Oryzias latipes: one gene and its partner. The protein of the gene in region 1 interacts with the protein of each later gene in a pairwise test. Links are inferred from orthologs where the notes say so. Each region holds a gene or a part of one and is shown in the gene's direction. Other genes may lie near its edges.

Region 1 (8,864 bases):
TTTTTTGGTGCTTCACTCCCTCTATAGTTTTTCAGCTATGTTATCCATTCAACTATTAAAACGTTCAGCTCGTTCAGCTTTTTCCAGCTGTGACTTTTGGTCCTTCAAATCCTTGAACTTTTCAAGGGTTTTTGCCTCCATTGAAAAACACGGGGAATCCTTTGCTTCTTTCTGTGTAGGAGCTCGCTGGTTCGATACCCGGAGCTCGCATTATTCACAGAAATATATTTTTGTTATTGTGTTGTTCTCACTTTATTTATGGTCAACTTTGATCATTTCTCTTTAAAAAAAAATTATTTTTTTTGCCAATTATTACCCTTTAAGTTTCATTTTCATTCAGCATTAAACTCTGCATTTTCTTCTAGAAATGCAGCTCCTTCTAGCTTTATCTGTTTTTGTTTTTTAGTTCTCTGTCTACTTTTTCCCCCCTATTGTTGCGTCTATGTTTATGAGTTTGTGTGTATTGTTTCTGTTTCTGCTCTTGTCTGCCTTCTGTTGTCTTTTCTTTGTTGGCTGAACTTGTCGTGTTCCTTAGGGACCATCAACCTGTTCTATGGGGACTAAAGATGGAAAATAGCCTGATAGGCTCTAATCTTATATAAATTAGCTTTACTGTTGACCGGCTAAAAGCCTGATGGTAAATGACAGGACTTACGGGACACGCTGAAGCCAAACACACTGTCGTATTCGCCCATGAGCTTCTTCAGCAGGGTGCTCTTTCCCGCCCCCGACGGGCCACTAAACACCAGGGGCCTGGGTCCAGCCATAGCTGCAGGAGAAGGAATAAAACACAAACCGCTGAATTCTTTTCATTCTTTCCAGACAATCCGAGGTTCCAGCCAGAGAAACCGGCCAAACCGGCCTAACGATCGTCATCTTTATCTCCATGTATTTTTTTTTAAATAGAATAAGAAACTCAACAAATATTGACATCATATCTTTACAACAAGAGTCGAGAGAACAAACCTCAAAAGCTAGAAAAGAAAATCCTCTGATCTTTTTGTTTTATCATGTCTGTTTTGTCAAATATTGTCAACAACAAAAAAAAAAAAGCCCCACAAACTCTACTTTACCTTTTCACCTTTCCTGAAATCACGCAGCACTTGAGCAGACGGAGGGAAATGAACGGGCGGACTTATATTGAGTCAGGATGGGAGGGTCACTGACAGGGTGGGGCTGCCTCTTCCACGTCAGCTTCAGCTTTCTGTTTCTTTTTTTTCCTATTGTAAACACTACAGCAACTGCGTAAAAAGCTGCTGCGTCAATGTTTTTAAATAGATATGCGGAACCTGCTCAGCAGGTAAAGCCCTTTTCATCATTAACATTAAAAAAAAAGACTTAAACTCTGCTTTAGTCCTTTAGTCATAAAACATCCTTTTAGTTTCCCGACAGAAACAGTTTAAACAAATGAAAGCACAGGTGCCCTACGTTTTACTGCAATTTGATTTATTCAAGCTTCAACAGTTCCAGTCGTGGACTGAAAAATAAAGAAATGTAGGTTTAAATCTAGTGTCAAATGACTCAATTGTGTTGTTTTCAGGTCACATTTAGCGAACCAAGTTTTTAACACAAGAGAAGCCCAGGAAAAAAAAATCCCAATAATTATTTATATATATTTAACCACAAAATACAGAATCTACAGTCGATGATCAATGGTTGCATCCAATTAAGATGAAAATATATATATATTTGGTGCATAGTTAAGACCTAGTTCTGCTCAAGACCATTTATTTCTCTAAACTTAAGTTGTCAATTAGAAAGATTAGCTTCTGATTTCCCTCAAACTGTTTTCCAAAAAAAAAAACCTTTCCTACTTAGAAGAGGCTGACAGGAAATGAGAAACATGTGAAGCTACGATCAGCACAGACTGACTCTCATGATGAACGCACAGAGAATCATGTGATCAGATTTACAACCAAATAAAAATCACGTGAAGCCTACAAAGCACTAGCGGCTCCGTGAACCAGAAAGGCTGAGCGTCACTGTCAAATTCTATTGGACATTTTTTTAATCTACATTTCAGTTTACATGACAGTTTGGTTAAACACTGTTAACACATAACTAGTGATTTAACCAAATCAAAACACAACTTTCATTAATTCAATGAGAACATTTTACGTAAAAAATTGACAGAAAATGTTTGTTTTTTATATAAAATTGATTAAAATGAGATGTTATCAATCAATGTTAAGTACATGTTCTAAGAGAAGATCAATTGATTATCCTTAAGAAAACACACAGAAAATACACATGTATTGCATTACAGATGTCCTGTTTACTTGAATGTAGATATTATTGTGGCAAAGTAATAAACTGATTTTATCTCTTGGGTTTGACGGTTTTCTGTTAATTTATTTCTTTAGTATCTCACTGGTTGGTTAAAAATATAATATGTTAAATGTCTGTTGTGTCAAACTGCACCAATGTTGTTTTGCTCCGAATAAATACCATTTAAAAATGCTCAACAGATTATCAGACTTTTCAGTAAACCAAAACCTAAAAAATTGGTTCCAACTTAAATGTTTTTTTTTGTTTTTTTTTTAATATTGCAAGGTATGTAACATCTCACAGATATAAGCTTATATTCTAATTCTTCAAAATGCACATTTTTAGTGACAAATGGTAGAAAATGCATTAATTTGCATGAATAAGCAAACTGGATATCTTATAAATATTTTTAAAAAAGAAGAAGAAAAAAGAAAGACAATTTTGTTAGTGATGTAATTTTTCTCCCAAATTACATTTTACAAAGGGTTTCCTAATTTAAGTTGACATTAAACAAAATAGATGATACTGGACGTTTTTATGCTACTATCAAAAGTTGTATCATCCATCTAGGATTTATATGCATCCTGAAATAAAATAAAACACCGGTTGACTTCTTGGGCACCATCTTTTCCTGTAGCTCCGTGACAACAAAGTGTCTCCAGGAATGAATAGTGGTTCCGACACAGAGATGGGAAAAAGAGAACAGAACAGCAGAAGGAGGAAAGGAAGTCAAAAATCCTCATTCCTACCTGAAAACAGTCTGATAAAATGTCTCATGTACATCGGGAGGCAGGTTTTTCTGATTCTGCAGACGGTCCTCGGAGCATTTTCTGCCTCCGCCGCCCTTTTCCTCACCGCGAGACGCCTACGTCATCACTACGTACCCAAACACGTTACGTCCGCGCGCGCCACTGGACGCGACCAAATGAAATAAACAAAAGGAGCAGGAAATGCTCGTTAGTCGGGAAAAAAGTTGTATTGCTTCTATTTGCAGTAGTCAGATCTTTATTGCTGAGGATTACAAATCTACCGTTTTAAATTTTTTACTTAAATAAAAAAATTGTTTGTTGGGTCTTTGCAACTTTAAGCTGCGCGCGCGAGAGTCCAGCTTTAACGCTCTGCTCTTTGTCGCGTTGTTGGGTTGTTTGTTTGTTTGGAAGTTGCTGTCGAAACAAACGCAGCCGTGTGGGTTTCTTTCGTGGAAACTGGGAATCTAAACTTCCTGGATGAGTCCACGCTAACGGCCCGCACCGACCACGCAGCTCTGCTAACCAACGTAGCTGCTAGCTAGCTAGCTAAGTGTTACTTTTCCCCCCCGAATCTCCACTTTTTTGCCCTTTTGAAGATGTTTGGTTCATCGAGATCCGGAGGCATCCGTGGAGGCCAAGACCAGTTCAACTGGGATGAAGTGAAGGTCGATAAACACAGAGAGAATTATCTCGGTAAGTCCATAACGTGCAGTCGATTACGCTATCAGCGCGTGCCACACATCCAGGAAAGATTAGCTCCAGATGCTTTTAAACCCCGTGTGGCCCCCCTAAAATTAGGTTGTTTTCCTACCTTTTGTTATTGAATTCCTCATTACACAAGGCTTGGCTTGATCTAATAGCTTGATATCAATCCCGATTAATCTCCGTAAAGAAAGCAAAAACGTGCTGTCAATGCCTCCTCTGGTCGACACGTTCGTTGTCTCTGTGCCCTCGCCGCTGCCAGCGGGTCAGCATGCCCAGAGAGAGCTACGTAGTGATCACCACAGTAGTCGGGACCGAGAAACATGTAACAAAAGCAAATCGACAAGCTCTCATAGCTGCTTAGATTTCTGAATGTTGTCTGTGTAAAATATGAGCTAAAACCACAACCTTTCAGGTGCAAAGTCAAACAGAAATGAGGCTCAAAACACCCACCCTTAACATGGCAGGAGACTGTTGCCTTATGTGTGGATTGCCTAAATACTTGGAATTAAAAAAACAGTCTAACAACAAGACTGCACTTGTCTATAATGAGATATTCTAAAAGACAAAGTTTACTCAGCTGGAGGAAGTTTAAAACATTGATCTGATATCAATTTTACAGCTTATATTGCACACTTGTATATACTGTTTGTTTGTTTGCTTGTTTGATTTTATTATATTACAATGTTATCTTTACTACTTTTCCCTTCCTTACTGTTCTTGCACTGATGGTGATGCTTAAATCTCATTGTACTATGCACAATGACAATAAAGCCATTCTATTCTATTCTATTCTATTCTAATTTGATTCTTACACTTGAACCTTTATGGGGGAAAATGCAAAAGGATACATCTACTGGAGAAGTCTGGACTGCTAATATTTTCATTTAAATGTGTGTAACCATGATCATCTTTAAAAGTCAAATAGATTTATTGAAATGATTATTTGGTGCAAAACATTAAAACATCTAGATAAAAGAAAAAGTCTAAATATAAAGTATAACAATCCTGCATAATACATTTTGTATTCTGAATTTGTGGCATTTGAAATGTAGAATTTAAAGAAGAACCTTTACCTAAATAGTTTGACCTCTTCTGCGTTTTTTCCAGGAAACTCCTTGATGGCTCCCGTAGGACGATGGCAGAAAGGGAAAGATCTGACCTGGTATGCAAAGGACAAGAAAGGTGGTGCTCCTTTGTCCAAAGAAGAGGAGCTTGCTGCAGTCAGAGCTGCAGAGGAGGAGGCACTGATGGCTGCCCTGTACGTGCGACTTCCCATAAGCCATTTCCTGTACCTTCTTGAAGATTAGGACACAAAAAGTGATGCTTTGCGTTTCTTGTTCTGAACTTAGAGGCCATAAGAATATAAAGAGACAACCAACAGGGCTTACTAAAGAGGTATGGATACGTTGCTGGTCAATATTGGAAAAATTGCTGTCAAGTCCTGTAAGTTGAATTTGATTTTTTTTTTCAGGATCTTGTAGAGGTATGCCGGAGAGAAGAGGTTGATGGTGAAGAGAAGGATGTGGATCGTATCTCAGGTTTAGGAAGCTCAAGGTGAGATTATCTTCTTGTCTGTGTCATAAAACAGATTTTTTTTATGCAAAATGTTTGCTTTAGGAAAATTTCAACTTTTCTTTTTCTTATTATAAATGCAATTTGCTTGAACAAATGTACAGAAGTTATGTTTAATTGTCCAAATGACAAATGGGAGTTTGTTAATAGTTTTTTTTTTTCTAGTTTATACACTAAAATGAGTCAAATGATTTGTTAATCAGGTTGCTGGTGAATAATATTCTTGGATATTTCATGACTTTTCTTTGCAGTTTTAGGTTTGGCAGAATTCAACCTTCTGTTCAGAGGAGATAAGGTGACTGGCTGTCTGTGGTTTGTTTAAGTTGACTCCATCTTTATTTCCCTCTAAAGTGCAGGGTCACGAAAAATGGTGCTGTCCCAAAAGGAAAAGGAGGCGGCTAAAATGGGTCTGCAAATTTTTACAGTAAGTCGTCTTTCTACATCATCCATACTGCCATTTGGAAACATTATTGTATTAAAACAGCATTTTTTAATTGTCAAAAATTAGTAGTAAATATGTGTTTGATTTTTAATTTTTTAACTATTGACTTTATTAGCATTAGTTATTTAGCAATATTGACGAGGGTTGAGTATGGCAAAAAGAATGAGTCGATTCAGGACTATATGATTAAATATGAATCACTTAAACTTACAAATTTGTTTTTTTTATATATATATTGTAATTTTTTTATACTTAACCCTAAGAAATACTCTAATCTAGAAAAATAAAATTCTTGCTGACGTTTCAGCATCATAAGACTGAAGGAGGCCAAGAAACATCAGCAACAACAACACAGAGTTCAGTGAAACAAGAAACTGAAGTCCGGTGAGAAAAGCGTTTATTTAATGACCTTTACAATGTACAGTCTCTTATCCAACGGTATGTAAGGGGAGGAGTAAATGAATAAAAATCTACTTACTGTGTCTTTAATATTTAGACGTGAAAGTAAAAAGAAGAAAAAAGAGAAAAAGAGCAAAAAGGCAAAAAAGGAGAAGAAGAAGAAGAAAAGACAAAGACAGGATTCTTCCTCTTCAGAGTCAAACGACGACTGCAAAAGGTTTGTCAAAGTCTTCATTCAAAACTGTAGAATTTTAAAAAAATGTCATAAAAATGAGTTTATAACAGGGACAGATTTTCACTGAAGACACCATGACTACATTTCCATTTGCACACTTCTATGTATATCTATCTACCTGACAACAAAGTGTGTTATACAAGTCAAAAATAGGCGCTAACACGTTTTTAAGAATACAATCTTTAAAAAGGAGAACAGCATTCTTTCAGCTGTAAATATTAGCATTTCAACGCACAATACTTATATATTCAATCCAATGAAAATGATGTTTTCGGTGTTTTTAACATGTTCTTGTAGCATTTTTCTCATGATGGAGGACATATAGAAAGAAAATTTATCTTAAAGCTTGGAGAAAGCTTGTAGTTTGATAGAAACTACAGTCGGCGAGCCACAAGCTCCCTGCTCCGCTCCATTCAGATGCTGACAAATAGATCCATGAACGTCTCAGTTTTCCACGTCTGAGCTGTAATCTGGATCCAAACTGTACGTATGGCCAGCTCCAATATGGCTCGCCATTTCTGTTGCACTGCTAATGTTATCTTGGGGTTGTGAGAGCTGTAAGCTAGCTGTGGAGAGTGTAAACAAAGGGATGATGGGAAATCAGCACTGGCGTACCCCCACTGGCCCACCTGCAAGGCAAAGGCCAATTTCTGTGGAAAACCCTTCCGCTGTAGGTTTCCATAACCATTCGGTCTGCAACAACCGTTCTTAATGTGCTGACGTCACCTTATGTGATTGGCTGTCCGTTGGTCTGATGACGTGTCAGATGGTGATTGGTCTGGACAAATTACGATACTACCATAGAAGAAGATATTTCTGTTGTAAACAGAGCTACGTCATGGAGTAAGATAATCTTCTGAACGTGCTTTTATTATTGTTATGATTATCATTAAGTGCATTTGCAGCCGAACGGACAGCGTTCCGAACCTTTCCCTGCTTGCAAACACAAAGCTACGAGACTCCGGCTGCTCTGCTCAGAGAAACGGTTTGCATGTGTGGAGCAGCCGGTTCATTCTAACAGCCACAGATCTTTTTATAAAGTGGGTTGTGGCCAAATCTCTCTAGAAACACTACAAAGAATGTCAGACACTACTTATGAAGGAAAAGAACTTTATGTTACAAAAGGAAATGTGAACTAAAACGCTACGTAGTTTGTCCAAGTGGGGTTACCGTAGTGTGACGTTATCCTCAGTCAAATGGACCCCAAACGGTTATTGCAGGCCGAATGGTTACAGTACCTACACCGCTCTGCAGAAACTATGTCCTAGAAAACGAGACAGGTTTTTTTGATTTGGCTAAAAATGGCTTCATCGGAATGAGTTGAACTGTGCTTTATGGTAAACATGCAGGATGAGTGTTAAACACATCAGAAGTGGAGGTTTGTGAGGATACATATAATGCTGCTGGAGTGGGTGAATATTCCACTGTGGCCCAGAAAATCATTTAATCTCAATCTCAATGTAATGGTTCAATAATATTGATAATAGAAAAAACACTTTATCTTTTTGCCTGAGAAATATTCTGTACTTGGACGGATACAACAAAAATAACTTTGAAATGCTAAGAACAGGATTATGGCAACTATGTTTAAGGGACTATATAAATTGGCTTTTTCCCCACTCCCCTTAAACAATTAAACTCTGTCAATCATTATGTTTAAAAGATTTAATGTGTAATGTGTGTTATGCATGTATAACTGTCTATGATTACGAATAATTTTCTCATTTTTTTTTTAAATCATTTTGCGAATTAATATCTTAACTTGTTTTAACTTCATCTTAACTTAATTTATTTTTTTCTTTTTCCTGTTTCTGATAATTACACTTGTTTGAAATAAGCCAAATCAATCAAAAAAAAATCAGTCTACCTGCAGCTTTTATTTTGAAGGATACAAAAAGTATTAATGATTTTCTTTTTTGATTATTACATTTCCATTCCCCTCAAAACCCCATCTTTCCATTGAGCTCTAACCATGTTCTTATGCTTATTGCAAAACTGCATGCTAACACTAGAGGGAGCTCAAACACTAATCTTTATCAGTGTTAAGACTTTCAATTTAGAAAGCAAGCATTTTGAAATTCTGGCTTTATCCTGTGGATGAGGAGCATGCATAAACCTTAATAATTTAAAGTTTTATTTACAGCACTGTCAACATAACATATTAGCGTTTTCCCTTTTCCATTCTTTTCTTTTGGAGCCTTATAAAGGGAGCTGCTTCACCACACACCACTTATTGATTGTTTGCCTCCTTTTGATTTTCAGACAGAGAAAGGACCACCACCATCATCATAATCCATCATACCGCAGTCAGAGTGGAGCCAAACCCCGTGACAGCCATTCAAGGGGGGGTGCAAAGGCCGAGCAACAGCCTTCCCACCCCCATCGTCGGCATAAGCGACACGACACAGACTCCTCTGATGGGGGGTCCCCTGCTCGCAGTAACCCCGCCACGCACAAGAAGGCCCCTGCTGATGCCAAACAAAGCCACAGGCGG
Region 2 (6,858 bases), on another chromosome or scaffold:
CAACCCTAAATTCAGCATACGTGGCTCAGGCAGAAGTCATCGTGTTTGTCAGGAGCATGACGCCTTTGTTCACAACACCCTGACAAACGAGCAGAGACGGGACCGGCGTCCTCCTAGACCAACTTCACACCCTCACTATCCGCTCAGCTGCATGTTATCAGCTCTCATCAGGATACTTGCTGACGGGATGATCACTCCTCACGAAATGCGTCTCTGAAGCAAAGTATCTGCCCCCTCCTGAGGATGCACTAGAGCACTTTTATGTTATAGAAAAACAGCAAAAACAAATTCAAAAGTTTTTTATTGATGCTTTAGTTTATTCTGAGAAAAATATTCCAACTTGATTTGGACCTCTGTGAAAACCTATTTACACCATAAATCTAAAATGTCTTGGTGGATGTGAAAGGATTATTGGCAGAATCGTCTATTCAAATACATGACGGAGGCGTAAATTTCAGGTCATGACAAAGCATTTCTCTGCATTTGCATCAATAAAAAGCCTTTTGTTCATTTCTTTCACTGACCCTGGAAATGTGTTCTGCCTTCAGACAGGATGGAGGTGTCACTGTGTTTGAAAGGATATGACGACTGCTGTTCGACAGAACAGCTCGGAACGTTTTTTCCACGAGAGCAGCTTACCACGAAAAAGCAGATTTAATTTAGAAGTCATCAACCGACCTGTCGTGAAGTGACACAAAAGAGACGGAAGAAAAGGAAAACTTGAAGGAGGAAAGATCCTCTGGGAACTCCGCAGAGCAAATGTTCTTCATTATTTCTTTTCTTCACAACTGATATTATTAAATCATCATAAACTTCTATTTCAGTTTGAGATCAGCTGTCTGAAGTGTCCTCACTCCATGGTTTGTTGGTGGGAAAAACAACACAAGTTGTTGCGGCACTTGTGTCTGCTGGTTATATTGACCGGGTAGATGATGGTGAATGAAGTGGAAGGAAAATTTCCCGCATGATTTGTCTCAGATGTCGTCGACATTCCATTCATTTAGCAACGTTTTGGGGTTTCTGGGCTGCAGATTAATGGAGGCGATTGTGTTTGTTTGCAGAGATGTTTCCAACATCTCTGCAAACAAACTCCAAAATGAGGGTCGGATGACGGTCCGGACCACAAAGTCTTTCCCTTTTAGGAGCAATGTGCTTTTTTCTGGTACAGACTATTGATATTGTCAAAGAAAATTCAGTCAACTTAACAGCTCATACTTTAAATGTTGTCTTTTTTTCAACAAAAAAGAGTTCATAACAGCCCCGAAAAAGATGCCTTTCTTTGTTTATTTGATCAGTCAAAGCTGTTATTATTCTGTCCCTGGACTGCAATTGTCTTCTTTTTTCTTACCGCACATTTTAGCAAACAATTCGCCCCACCACAAACCCAAAAACTCACCAAAATGTACATGCACCTAGTATCTGGTGAAAATAAATTTTTGAGTAGATGCTAAGAAATGTGATCAAATTTTTATGGATTTCATCAAACCGACTTTGATCAAACTTTCTTACTTTATTCGTCCAGCTTCAACCGGAGGATGAATTTGTCCAAAATTAAGCCGATTTAAAGATTACATCCCCATCATCCTGCTTGATCAGACCAATCATGCTTCTGTCTCCTCCTCCCAGAAGACCTTTCCCACGCTCAGTCATGTCGGAGTGCGCCGTCGCTCGTTTGACAATATTAGATCCCTGTCAGGAGCACTTCCTCTTACAGCACAAAAAAGCCCAGGTGAAGAATATAGAAGGCGACGGCTCCTGCCTGCTTTCAGTGCAGGAGGAGGTGTTGATGGAGTAGTCTCTGCTGATTATCATCTCATTACAATCAGCCACTGGATGATGAGGAGAATGTGTAATTATGCTCAAATCTCTCCTGACTAAAGCGCAGAATAATAAGCAGGGCTGGAGCTGTTTGCCCACATCAAATCACAGTTTAATAAGCTATTGGTGGATGAAGGTTTCTTGGAGGTTCAGGTGATCCGCCCTTCTTCTGGTGACGGTGGAGGCAGATCATTTGTAAAGAATCAAAGGTATAGCCTTGTCTGAGTTGAGAGTTATATCACAAACACTGAACAATACGTCAACAACGCGATCATGAACACTGCTGGCACCAACATGATTGTTTTCCATAGCAACGATTGCTCTTTAAAGTTTAGATTGAAGGAAAATCTCCTTTCATATGAAACTGGTGCAGAAATGTTGGTGTGGACATGACCTTGGACTTCTTGGCGCCATCTGATTGTAAAGTATGGCATCACACAATTACTGCAACAAAACATTTTGGCTTTGCCCAAACAAATTCCCTTCCTGCGCACTACTTGGTACACTCTACGGGGCATTCGCCGGTTTGATCGGGTGTCTGAACCAGACACTTGCTTGCTCTATTCTTATCAGAGATATGAATCATTTTGGGACATCAGAAACATTTACTGTATGGTTCTTTTGTGGTGACTTGGCAAAGACTATTGCTAATCTGATATCTCACTAAACTATACAAAGTGTTGCATAATGGGGCAAAGACGCTTCAAGTTGATTGCATAAGCACTCACTTCTGTAAAGTGTTGCCTATCAGTGCAAAACTGCTTTTGTCCGCTTCGGAATCTGTTGGAATTAGGTTCATTGCATTGATGGTTGAAGAGTTTTGGTGGTCAACAAAGTGTCAACGCTTCAGCTTGTGGTGTTTACACCGGACAAGCAGGCAGCGGCAGCCAGGGGCATCTTTTCCTTTTTTGTTTTTCTACTGTTTAGTAGCGCGCGAAGAGGCATTGGAGTGAAATGTGGAAGCGGTACAAATCCCGTGACTCTTGCTCCAGGCTTTTTCTTTTACAGCCCTATTTGAATATATGTAAGACATAATATAACATAAACTGCTGTTATTAATTTCTCCTTCATGATCCCTTTTTCAACCGGTTGGCACTTCCGTGTATCGGATCAGGGACCAGATCAGAGTCCCTGATTGATCAAAGTTCAGCTGTTTGATGTTGGTTGAACTTCCAGCGTGCCTTCAGTAAACGCCGGTTTGTAAGTAGAGAGCCAGAGAACGGACTTAAAAACTTGCGTAGCGACGTGTGAATGAGAACATTTTATATGTAAAGGTCAGAAACGTGAGTTTACAGCAGCTGGTATGAATGTAGCTTTACATGGTGAACAGAGGAGTAACGCTAAAAGGGGTGCACATGTTTTCTACTACACATTTAAAAGCTGTTAACGCTGTTGCTGTGGCAGCCTGTAGGAGGAGCTACAGGCAGTGGTAGAGCTTTATTGTTAATTGAGTCTTCTTCATTACCATGTATGTATGAAACCTGGGGGAAACTTAGTGTGTGCTTCTAAACTGCACAACAATACAAAAGGCCATTAGCTTGACTGTCGGGGCAGCTGAGGCGTGCTAATAACAATATTTTAGTTGACATGATGGTTTGAGCGCTTCCAGTTTCCCTGGAAAACGGCTGGCAGGATGAAATGGAGGGAAAATAAAACAGACCATGTGAGCTCTAACCATGCCCCCCCCCCCCAATCCCTGATGGAAGTGTAAACTGTGAAGGTCTCAACTCTAAACAGGGCTTTTCTTTCTTTTGGCTCACAGATCAGAAACAACTGCCTGTCACCCGCTGAAGACCAACGATGGGGACTCAGCCAATGCGTGGGCGGCCAGCAGGGACCGCAGAGGCTGCATGAAGAAGAGTCGCCGAAAACACCGCAGCCACCGCAGAACCAGGAAGTAAGCCCGCCTTTTCCCTTCCAAACAAAGAGAGGGTTTTCCCGCGCTAATAATAGAGAACTGTCTAACATGCAGTGACGATCTGAGCCTGGCTTTTCCAGCGACAGAGGGGTTTGTTTGTGCAGATCACAGTTTATGATAAAACCCATCATCGGGATGCCTTCAGGGCCACAGCCCCGCTGAGGAAACATGATATCTGCATTCTGATGCTTGGAAGTAAACAGTCTTACCACGTCAGGCCTGGAGGAGAAGCGCAGAGATGCTATGAGGAGTTCCTCACCACGACGTCTCCTTCTCCTGTCAGAAACCTCGTTCAGTTTCTTTGTGTCTCTGAGTTATTTTATTGAGAACCTGTTGTTTTTTTTAGTTATCAACAGAAAAGATTTTTCTCAATTCATTCATTTATTTCAAAACATATTCTCATTCTAGACAACAGGGGGAGCTTTAATTTTTTTTCACTTTTTAAAAATTAAATTTGGTTTAAAAAAAAGAAATATTTAGATTAAAAAAAACATTTGAATTTGTGGAAATGTTTATATACAGTAAATATAATTTTTCTACAAAAGAATAAAAATCAACCCTATTTCTTTTTTCCGTTTTGGCTTTCTATTTTGTCAAATATCTGCAAATGTAATCTGGTTTTTATTGTGGAATTAAATTCACACTATTTTAGAAGTACTGATGATTGCTGATAGTTTTTTTTTTTTTTTAGTATCCGACGTTTTTTTAAACACTGCATTAAAAACAGGATTTTTGTACTGCAGCAAAACAAAACAAGAAAAAAACAAACAAACATGTTGCCGTTACAAAAAGAAAAGTTGATTAAAAGTCCCATTCTTGTAAAGGAAGCCATATTTTTTATTTTTTGGAGTTATTTAGAAAAACATACCTTTACAAAAGACCTTTATCTATGTTTTCTCCTTAAGGCTTAATATTTCCTGCGAGAATTTTTAACCTTTTGAAACACAACTAATTATGCAGTAAATAAAGACCTCAAAAACTATTTCTGCAGATTTTACAGTTTAGATCTGAGATCTTTATCAGCTTTGGGCATTCAAAAAATGTTTTACTTCACTTTTTTTCTGGTAAAACCACAAATAATTAAAATAATTAACTTTACTGAAATAAAAACTTTTTATGTGCAAATAAGAAGTGAAGTCTTATTAGTGAGGATGTAACATTGATTTTTTTATTTATTTCTTTTTTATATATTAATCTGCTTAAAAAAAATCAATCAAAGCAAAGGGAATGTTACACCAAACACTGAGGTGATAAAACTGCTTGAAAATTAAATCTACAGGTAATAAAAGCTCAATGACTATAGATGAGATGAAATATGTACAATTTATTGATGAAATTACCCAAACATTTATGATATGACAGTCTGTTTTTATTGTTTCTATTACTTTTGTAACTTCAGAAGATAAAATGTCAATTGCTGCTTTTTCTGTTGACCAGACTTTATGGTTTTAATGGGAAAAGTTGTTGTGCTGAAGGTCTGCAGTCAAAACATCCTTCAGAAATCTTCCCTATCATTTCTAGAACCAACGAGCTGATCTTCTTCACCGCCCATCTTCTTCAAGGTTTCAACCTTTTTTCAAACATCCATGACTTAAACGCATTTCAGACTTTTCTCCATGTTTCACATGGAACTGAAGAATAATCAGGAGGGAAAAAACTTTTTTGTTTGTTTTCTTTTGAAAGCCAAATGGTCCCTCACAAAGATCCCTGAAAAATCAAGGAAACAGTTTTGTTTTGTTTTGTTTCTTGCAAGAAAAATAATCTTATGATTTTCAATAATAATATAATGTTAGTTTAAGGAAACATGTCTCTGTGGCTAGAATTTATTTCTTAAAATAAGAATACTTCATTAGACCATTTTTCTGACCCCTCTGTCAGATTTTTTTTTTTTAGCTCATTAGAAGAAATTGTGCCAATTGGGTAAAAAACTTTTGACTGTTTTTGCAATGTACAGACCACAGTGACCTATAGGATGAAGCTAGAAACCTAAACTGACGGTAAACAAAGCCTGGACAGCAATGTGAGCACTTCCTGTAAAGCGTGGACTGATGCAGCTCTGACCAGCGACCTCTGCCTCAACGCTCATCTCCGCTCCAACTCAGTAGTTCAGTCAGATCGGCAGTGACAGCCTTTCATCAAACGTGTTTGTTCAGATCCTCCATGGATAACAAGCTCATTCTTACTAAGTTCTTCAAAGTGCTGCTGGGAAATTTTTGTTCTTTGAATTTTTTTGCTAATTGGGCAGCAAAAGAAAAGAAATCAAACGTAACTAAAATGCAGGGTTCGTCTTGACTTTTGGAAAGTATTTTTATTGAATGAGAAAAAAGGGAAGCATCAGAAGGAAAATCAGCTTTTGTTGAATCTGGAAAACAGATGCACAAATCCACAAAACGAGAAATGAAATCAGAGGATGGTTTCCATAGGAGGTCTCCAAATCCTGTTTTGCTCTCTATTGTTTCAGAAAATTACCCATTTAGTCAGAAATCCTTCATTCTCCCTTTCATCCACTCGGCTTTATCAAGAGAACCGAAAAGAAACTGCTGGCACACTGAAATGTAGATGCTCTTTTTCTCTCAGCGAGGCCAGAGCGGTGGAGATGCTAATGAGTGACAAAGCGTTCTCATTATCAGGAGAGGGTACTTGGGTTTGCTCCGTCTAATCAGTCTAATGCATTTTGGTCCTTAATGCTCCTAAACTACACCAAGCCGAGCCGTTCATTACAGCCAGACGTCTCCAGAGCTCCAACTAGCAAACTTCTGCATCAGCCCAAATCACACTGACCCGGGCGTCAGACCTTCTGAGGGATGTGGGTCATTAGTGTGGATTCTGCTATCAATGCAGACAAAGAACTTTTAGTATGAGTGGAAAAAAAAGATTTGAGGCTTTACTCTAAATGTGTTTGCCATAATTATCACAAACATGAGGCAACCGTCTGACTTCCAGATGGAAGCACAGTCAAAATGAAAGTAACTGGAGCCAGGTCAGTTCACTAACTAACCCCTAGGAGGCTAGTTAATCAATGCAGCCACATTCCCTTTAATGATCCAACTTTTTTTTTTTTTTTTTTTTTTTTTTTTACCTTGTCCTGTCCAACAGCTGGGCAAACAGATGAGAGCTGAGGG

Evidence for each region. The genes of interacting proteins can lie anywhere in the genome.
Region 2: the proteins of c17h1orf35 (region 1) and srrm4 interact in binary tests that used the Homo sapiens proteins (3 or more experiments, as listed by UniProt). The link is inferred for Oryzias latipes from reciprocal best matches to the Homo sapiens genes C1orf35 and SRRM4.

What each region holds. Positions count from the first base shown.
Region 1 is NC_019875.2:27,888,709-27,897,572, forward strand, and holds the start of c17h1orf35 (multiple myeloma tumor-associated protein 2), read left to right. Parts: upstream 1-3,158; 5' UTR 3,159-3,613; coding exon 3,614-3,710; intron 3,711-3,828; coding exon of another isoform or gene 3,829-3,850; exon of another isoform or gene 3,851-4,150; intron 4,151-4,795; exon of another isoform or gene 4,796-4,829; coding exon 4,830-4,980; intron 4,981-5,071; coding exon 5,072-5,117; intron 5,118-5,193; coding exon 5,194-5,276; intron 5,277-5,645; coding exon 5,646-5,718; intron 5,719-6,043; coding exon 6,044-6,120; intron 6,121-6,232; coding exon 6,233-6,352; intron 6,353-8,632; coding exon 8,633-8,864. Other genes in the region: guanylate kinase, read right to left, coding at 656-769, 3,018-3,051.
Region 2 is NC_019867.2:3,738,761-3,745,618, forward strand, and holds part of srrm4 (serine/arginine repetitive matrix protein 4), read left to right. Parts: intron 1-3,580; coding exon 3,581-3,715; intron 3,716-6,858. UniProt on the Homo sapiens protein: Splicing factor specifically required for neural cell differentiation.